Ovis aries: one gene and its partner. The protein of the gene in region 2 interacts with the protein of the main gene of each other region in a pairwise test. Links are inferred from orthologs where the notes say so. Each region holds a gene or a part of one and is shown on either strand. Other genes may lie near its edges.

Region 1 (3,284 bases), on a different chromosome or scaffold from region 2:
GCCAGCTCTAGGGGAAGTGGCCTTCAGTAGTTGTGGAGCGTGGACCTTAGTTACCCGGCCAGCGATGGAGCTCACGTCCCCTGCAGCGCTGGGCCAGTGGGAGACGGAAAGCAGCATAGGGTCCGTCCTCACTTGCGTCTCCCGTGTATGGAAAAGCGACCTGAGCTACCCCAGGTGCAGCCAGCTGTGGAGGGGGGCTGTGCTGTTCCCTTAGTCCTCAAAGCGGGATACACGCATACAGGCACACGAGGGCTCCATCACACAGTGTGATCACCACTAACACCAAAGGGGCCAAGAAGCATCATCTGAAAAGGTCAGAACTGCAGAGCCAGATGGACAATTTTAAGATTGAGGCTTCCCGGGGACCACCACTGTTCACTAGCTTCTGACCAGGATTGCGGCTCTTTTAAGTTTGCTGATAAAGAATCTTTCTATCTGCAGACTCCAGCTCTACCTTCCCTCCCACTGTTAACAGCCCCAGGGGGCAGCCTGGACCCCTCCTCTCACCGTTCCCAACATCTGAGAATGACTGCCCTTGGTTTGTAGTCGAGGAAACCTGCTGAGTGATCTGTCAGGGAAGGGACAGCGCCCCTCCTGGCGGCTCGCGGCCAAGCGAGGAGAGCTGGGTCTCATCCTGACCCCGCCTTCCCTTCTCACCCTGGGACCCGGGAGGAGCTGAGACAGCATTTTTGACCATTCTGTCCCCAAAGTGGGATCCCCCTGATCTGGTGGCGCAAAACTAGGTAATTTCTGGCCTTTGGGGCCTTGGCCGTGTCCTGTGTCTCTGGCTTCTTTCTTTTCAGCTTAGGACCTGGAGCCTCAGGAAAGGACTAAACCCTCAGCACCAGCTCGTGCATGAGTGCTAAGTCCCTTCAGCCATGTCTGACTCTTTGTGGCCCCATGGACTGTAGCTCGCCAGGCTCCTCAGTTCAAGGGATTCCCCAGGCAAGAACACTGGCGTGGGTTACCATTTCCTTCTCCAGGGGATCTTGCTGACCGAGATCGAACCCTTGCCTGTCTCGTCTCCTGCACTGGCAGGCGGGCTCTTTACCACTAGCACCACCTCACAACACACCATCTAGTCTTGGAAGACCATTCTGTTTGTGCAGTGACCTTGAGTTTCGGGGCTGTCTCGTAGTTATGATCAGGGAGGGGAGGCAGGGGGGTTCACTAGATTTCTCCAGCAGCACCTAGGGCTTACTGCCCCCAGAGCAGATCTCTTAAACCTCTGTTCCCTGAATCTTCTAGATCAGCTCTCCCAGGGTCGACATTGTAGGCAGATGTGACGATGAGGGGCACAGAGGCAGCTACTGGCTGAAGCCCGGGTGGAGGACCCTCGGGTTAAGTTCTGTGCCCCCAATTATTCCCTAGGAGCCTTGCCCGACAGAGGGGACCTGATGCACGACCCAGCCATGGATGAGGAACTGGAGCGGCTGTAAGTGTTACATGGGAAGATGCTGCCCCCTTGTGGGCACCAGACCCCAGTCGATCAGAGCCCGACAAGGGCCACTGAGCACTTGTCCATCGGTCAGGGAAGGCTTGGGGGGCCGATGGAGGCCTGAGACAGCCTCTCTTTGAACCCTTTGGGGAGGCAGCCTGTGGTCTCACACACGCGAGAGTGGGTGAAGGGGTCCTGGTCTCTGGACAAGAGGCACCTCGCTCCCTTTGGGCATCTCCTTCTTCAGGCTGGCGCAGATACCAGGCCTGGTCACCTCAGTCACTGCCGGTCCAGAGGCCAGCTGCCTGCCTCCCCGGACCCCTCCCCGGGTTGGCTCCCCTTGGAGACCCCTCCATCATGCCCGCAAAGTGGATGCAGAAAGCGATGGCTCCACTGAAGAGACAGATGAGTCCGAGACTTGAGGAGCCTGAAGGGTCCTGTCTACAGCACAGAACCCAGCCCTGGGTCCAGTTCCCAGCACCCCACCTGCTCAACTCCCCACCCGCCTCCAAACCCTAGGACCCCAGGCCTCTCTCCTCCCACTCCCTGTGCCGAGCTGCCCTCCACTGGCACTGCCCTCCACTGGCGAGGCCAAGTGACAGCCCCAGCCCAGAGACCCGCCAGAGAGGTGCTGATAAGCCAAGCTACGCAGTGACCCTAGAAAGTTAACAGCCGACTTTCTCCCATCAGCCTGCCTTTCACCAGGCCCCAAGCTGACAGCGGACTGAGCTGAGGCCACGGGAAGGGTGACTTGGTTTTACCTTTTTGCTGACCATCCCCATCTCCTCACAGCAATTCCAGGAACCATGCAGAGCCTTGCATGGTCAAGGGTGACACCCAGCCAGTGATGCAGGTATTAGGATACAGCCATGGTAGCTTTCTGCGGGAGGACTAGCCACTAGCCGTGAGATGAAGGGTGGGCAAAAAGAAATTTCACTTTCAGAAACCGCGTCAAATCTCCTCTGTGTCTAATAGTTAAACATGTGAAATGAATAAAGTCCCTTGTGTCTGGTAAGTGGTGAGTCTAAAGCCATGAGACAGGGGTGAAGGGAAGGGGCGAGTTTGAGATTTTGATGCCAAGTTCCAGTTTCTTCTGGCAGGACTGGGAAGTTGGGGGACAAAGGACTACTCGACCTGGAGACCTGTCTCAGATCATGAGCAAAGAGGGACTCACCAGCTGCACATGAGCTCTGCCTTTCATGGGAAAGGTGGCCACAGCTGGACAGAGCTTTCAGGAACAAGCTCAGATGGCTCAAGGCCAGGTGCCCACAACTTGAGAGACGGGCCACCAGGGGCTGCCATCACAGGTTCATTAAACATTTTCTAAGCACCTGCTCAGGGTTAGGCCAGTAGGGGTGCAGCTGAGAACAAGACAGGCGGAGTACCAGCTTCCAGCCAGAGCTGGACAGTAAGGCGCGTGGTCTGCAACTTCCAGAAAGTAAAACCACCCCAGGACCCAAGCAGAGCAGGCTTCCTCCTCTGCAACTGCCAGACACCCACATTTTCCTTGGCTCATCCCTGCCCAGACCAGCACCCCCTGGAGAGTTACAGGACCAGCCGCTCCCACAGCTCTGCCGGGCCAGGCTGGTGACCACTGAGGCATCTGCAGCCTCCAGCTCGCCAGCCGACTGGGAGCCACTCAAAGCCCCTGGATGCCTCAATCACCCCGGGGGCTCAAGCCCCACGACCACACCCCTCCAGCCTGGAGGCGGGCAGAGAAATCTCTTCATGAGCACCTCCCGAGGACTCGTGATGACTCCGCACTTGGGACATCGCTGGCTTAGAGGCCCGTGGCTGCCTCCGCCCATCCATTCTCATCACCCACCTCCCAGACCAGCGGCTTACA
Region 2 (4,307 bases):
ATGTTAAGTGTTCCTACCACAGTAAAATAAAAAATTTCAGGTCTGAGTGGAAGGAAGAAATGATGAGGCCAGTGACAGAAATAGTTGTTTTTGAGGTGAAGCTGTGAAAGGGAGGCTCTGGCAGGACAGCCAACTAAAAGTACCTTTATATCAGTTGAGCAAAACTGATTGGAGATGAAGATATAAATAAAACTTAGACAAAGAGAAATGTGATGCCAAGGGCAATTCACCAAAGTAAAAAGGTTAAAGAATGATCAGCTCAGAGGGACCGAGAATCAAGCCTTTAGAAATACTTAAAGAGTGATAGGATGAAAGGAAATGGTGAAATAAGGTGATCATCAGAGAAGAAGGAGGCTGAACAAGAAAGAACGGCGTCACTAAGTCACATGAGAAGCAAATTTCGAGAAATTGTTCACTATGTCAAAGCCAACGGAAACTGAGAAAAGACCATTGGGAAGGAAACTGGGACATTCCAAAAAGATGAGAAGCCTAGCCTGACCTTCCCTACCTGGTTAACAAACATTGTGAATCATGCTGATGGTCTCTCCTCGAGGTTAAGGTCAAGAGACCCGAGCAGGGTTGATTTTTTTCTTCTTCCTGTTGCTTTCTCTTCTATTCTTGGGAAAAGCATAGAAAATGGAGATTATTTTGTTTGCCATGAAGCTCATGTCCACTTAACTCCTACCTAAAGGGCAGGCAGGTCAGAAGTTACAGACTAAAAAATTAAAAATATTCACAAAACTGTAGTTTAATCATTATTCATGAGCAACAGCAGAAACAAATGGAGGAGGACTGGCAGTGTACTTCAGTCAACTTCCAGCTCAAATGATGTGAGCGGTGTAGTGTGACCGAAGATTGTGCAAGTGAGAATGAGGAACCGTCTGTTGTTTTCTGTCTTTACTGCAGTAACAAGTTATTAAATATTAATAACTAACATTTAACGACATGGGATTTCCTGAGTCGGTCTTTTAATGTCCTTAAATTTGACTGGTTTGAGGTCTTTTGGGGTGGGTATGTCTATCTATCCATTTGGAAGAATAGGAAATGGACTTGAAGCATGAGGGATGAGGCTTGAGCTTTTATTAGTGGAAATAATATATGGAATCTATGGAATAATTTTTTAAATCTTAGCTCCATGAAACTTTTATTAAAGATGAGACATGTATGTGGAGACAGATTTAGGAAGGTTAGATCATGCCGAACAAACCGCTTTCTGAAGGATGTTTTCTATCGCAGAATTATTTAAAAATAAAATTCCAAACCATTGAAGGAGTTTGAAACTAAGTGTATTTAAAAAAAAAAATAGCGTATAAACTACACTCCCAGGAATCCATGCGGGCGAGTCGCTGCGCTCGGCAAGCGGCCTTCGCCGCAAGGTACGCTGGGAAGTGTAGTGCGCCAAGCGACGCTGCACGTGACACGCGGAGGCAGGCGAGGGGACCGCGCCACCTGAGGCGGTCGGGGGTCCGGGGGAGGCTAGGCATACGGCTCTCTTTCCCCCCGAATTTGGTCTGTGCAGTTAGGGGATGGCCCCCATCTCCTCCCCACCGTGAGGTGAAATAAGCTGGCCGTGTTCCGTCGCCCGCCGGAGCAGCTCCGGGGAAGTCCGGAGAGTAAGGCATCGTGGTGCCTCGCCCCTTTTCTCGGCGGCCGGGCGGGCCGGGGAAGAAGGTAACAGCCCGGGGCTCAGGGCCTGCGCCCTGCGCCCCGCCCAGGCTGCGGCAGCGCGGGGAGGAAGCGCGTCTAGTTGAGCGCAAAGTTTCCTTTTATATTTTTTGCTTTCTCTTCAGAGTCGCCCTCACGGGCCATGGGGCGGGTATGCCACACTTCAGTTTGAGCGGGGGTCCCTAGACCAAGGGGTGAAGATAAGCGAGCCCCCCATCCCGCTAGCCATGAGCAGCCGCGACCACCTGTTCAAAGTGCTGGTGGTGGGGGACGCCGCGGTGGGCAAGACGTCCCTGGTGCAGCGATATTCCCAGGACAGCTTCAGCAAACACTACAAGTCCACGGTGGGAGGTGAGACGCTGCGAGGGGCGGTCGGGGGAGCGGCCGGGGTCCTGCGACTAGCCGCAGACTGGAGTGGGCTGGGGGCCGGGGGTTTTGCCGGCTTTGGGTCCTTCCCCGGGCCAGGAAGGAGCTGTCTGAGACCCTGGTGTTTGATGTGCATGTCTCTCGGGGCGTGGGGCGGGTGGGGGGAGGTGGTTTCCAGTTAAATTTTCCCAGTCAGAGCTGTCTCGAGAGAGAAAGGCAAAGTGTGACGGTAGGAAATGGGGAAGGGTGGGTGAGAAAATGAGCAGTTGCTGCGTTTCGCTGGGGAACTGTGAACTCAAGCCTCCAGCCTTCCTAGCAGTCACCTGCAAATCTCTGCGACAAGCGGACTCCACTGAGACCTTCTGAAGAACCTGGTTAGGTACCATCTGGGGCTGCTGTTCTACCTTTCACGAGAGTTACAGACAGCTGTTGAAGGAACAGAAGGGTGTTTAACCTGGCCTCAAGGAGCCTGGCTTCGTTATGGAGATGCTTGCCCAGGAGAGCACTTGGACACTGTCAGAGGCTGATGAGCTGTGTGGTTTTTGTCCATTGATTGTTTAAAGACAACCTATTCCTAGTGTAAAATATACCACTTTTTTATTTTCCCACCCCTTTTTCTCTCAAACTAGGGAGGCAAAGGACAAGGGGGACACCAGGAGTTAATTCACTTCTTTCCAGGTGTGGCCTTTGGACTCAACTATCTTTCCAGAAGTAGGAGAATGCTTTTTAATTAAAAGTTTAGCTGGGGAGAGCTGGTGAAGAGGAAAAATAACAAACATTTATTTATCTCCATTAAAAGAACTTTTGTAATACAAATTTTGAAAATGTACACTAGTGTTCATTATGGAATTTTTAAAAATTAACATCCAATTAAGACATCTTCCTTAAGAGCATCCATCAAAATGAAGGGTTTTAAGTTTCAAACAAACAAACAAATAAGTAACATGAGGGCCTCTGATTCACGGATTTGGTTTAAAAGTATCCTCCTAATTTTTAACAATTGCTCTAGTTTTCCTATAGTAAAGAATATAATTGACTGGCTATTTTTTTCAGTGTTTATTCTAAATTTCCCCTAGCTTTCATTTCTGTCATAGATGTGAAGAAATATATTTCCAAACATCAGAAATTATCCTGTTTCTGTCTTTGTCAAACGCTCTTCCCCCTTGGCCTTAACTCATGGAGTCTCAGCATCTACAGATGTGGCAGGAGCTTCCAGCACAGCTCTTAAGCATCACCCATGGGGTGAATCCTCTGGGACCTTTTCACTTTATCTCATTCCTGCCCAGGATAATTCCTACAGCCTTATGAAGGATGTAGAATTCCCCCAAGGTTGTGATTTTCTCATAATACAATTGGGTTAGAAACCAACAGAGAAATTGAACGTGGAAAATGCAAAGGCCAACACACTTACCTCATTTCCGTCTTCTACCTCATCATCCCTTCCCTGAGAAAGCCCCCTAAATCTTCCAAAAACTGTTTAACCTAAGATAAGTTGTTTTTGTAATTACTCTCACCTAATATTCTCCAATTGAGTTTTCTCAGCCTGAGCCAACTGTCTGAAAAGAGATAAGGCAGTATTAGTAGGATCAAATAATTGGTTTGACAAGAGAGTAAAAGCCAGAGATGCCTTCAGAAGATGCATGTGAATTATATGTCCCATATTTAGTACATGGGTGTGGTCCATTGAGGGCTTAAAATAACCAAATAAACCAACAATGAATGAATGAATTTGATTGGAGTTGTGTGTCCCTAGGGTTGTATCTGCATGTTTGATATGACTTTGTGGACTTTTTAAAGGTAAACTTTATTCAAGTATATTATACATATATTTTCAGTGGATTTTGCTCTGAAGGTTCTCCAGTGGTCTGACTCAGAGATGGTGCGCCTCCAGCTGTGGGATATTGCAGGTAGGATGGGAAAACGGGACAAGAATAAGGGGAGACATTTTGGTTTAACCAACAAGCTTTCAGAGAAAAAGTAGAACCAAACTTTTTTTTCTGAAGCTGGAATGATCAGACTGCTCTGAGGATATGTAAGCTGAATAGATGTAGAGCTTTTGTAGATGTGTTCTGTAAATGTTTTACCCTGAATAAATATAGAGCAGTCTCTGTGCGGGTGGAGGGGTGGTGAGGTAGTGAACTGTGAAGACCATAGGCAGATGCTCCCACAGCAGGCAGAGGGTGCTCTTTCTAAGGTTTCCAGCTAACCTTGGTGAGAAACAAGTGAAAAGACAATAATAATAGCTAGACAGTGTATTAAAAAGCAGAGACATCACT

Evidence for each region. The genes of interacting proteins can lie anywhere in the genome.
Region 1: the proteins of RAB29 (region 2) and CSTPP1 interact in a two-hybrid assay, tested with the Homo sapiens proteins (2 studies listed by BioGRID and IntAct). The two-hybrid records come from large-scale screens. The link is inferred for Ovis aries from reciprocal best matches to the Homo sapiens genes RAB29 and CSTPP1.

What each region holds. Positions count from the first base shown.
Region 1 is NC_056068.1:75,987,461-75,990,744, forward strand, and holds the end of CSTPP1 (centriolar satellite-associated tubulin polyglutamylase complex regulator 1), read left to right. Parts: intron 1-1,371; coding exon 1,372-1,435; intron 1,436-1,685; coding exon 1,686-1,860; 3' UTR 1,861-2,453; downstream 2,454-3,284. UniProt on the Homo sapiens protein: Regulator of the tubulin polyglutamylase complex (TPGC) that controls cytoskeletal organization, nuclear shape, and cilium disassembly by balancing microtubule and actin assembly.
Region 2 is NC_056065.1:3,369,220-3,373,526, reverse strand, and holds the start of RAB29 (ras-related protein Rab-7L1), read left to right. Parts: upstream 1-1,429; 5' UTR 1,430-1,613; exon of another isoform or gene 1,614-1,671; intron 1,672-1,790; 5' UTR 1,791-1,892; coding exon 1,893-2,016; intron 2,017-3,866; coding exon 3,867-3,938; intron 3,939-4,307. UniProt on the Homo sapiens protein: The small GTPases Rab are key regulators in vesicle trafficking. Essential for maintaining the integrity of the endosome-trans-Golgi network structure.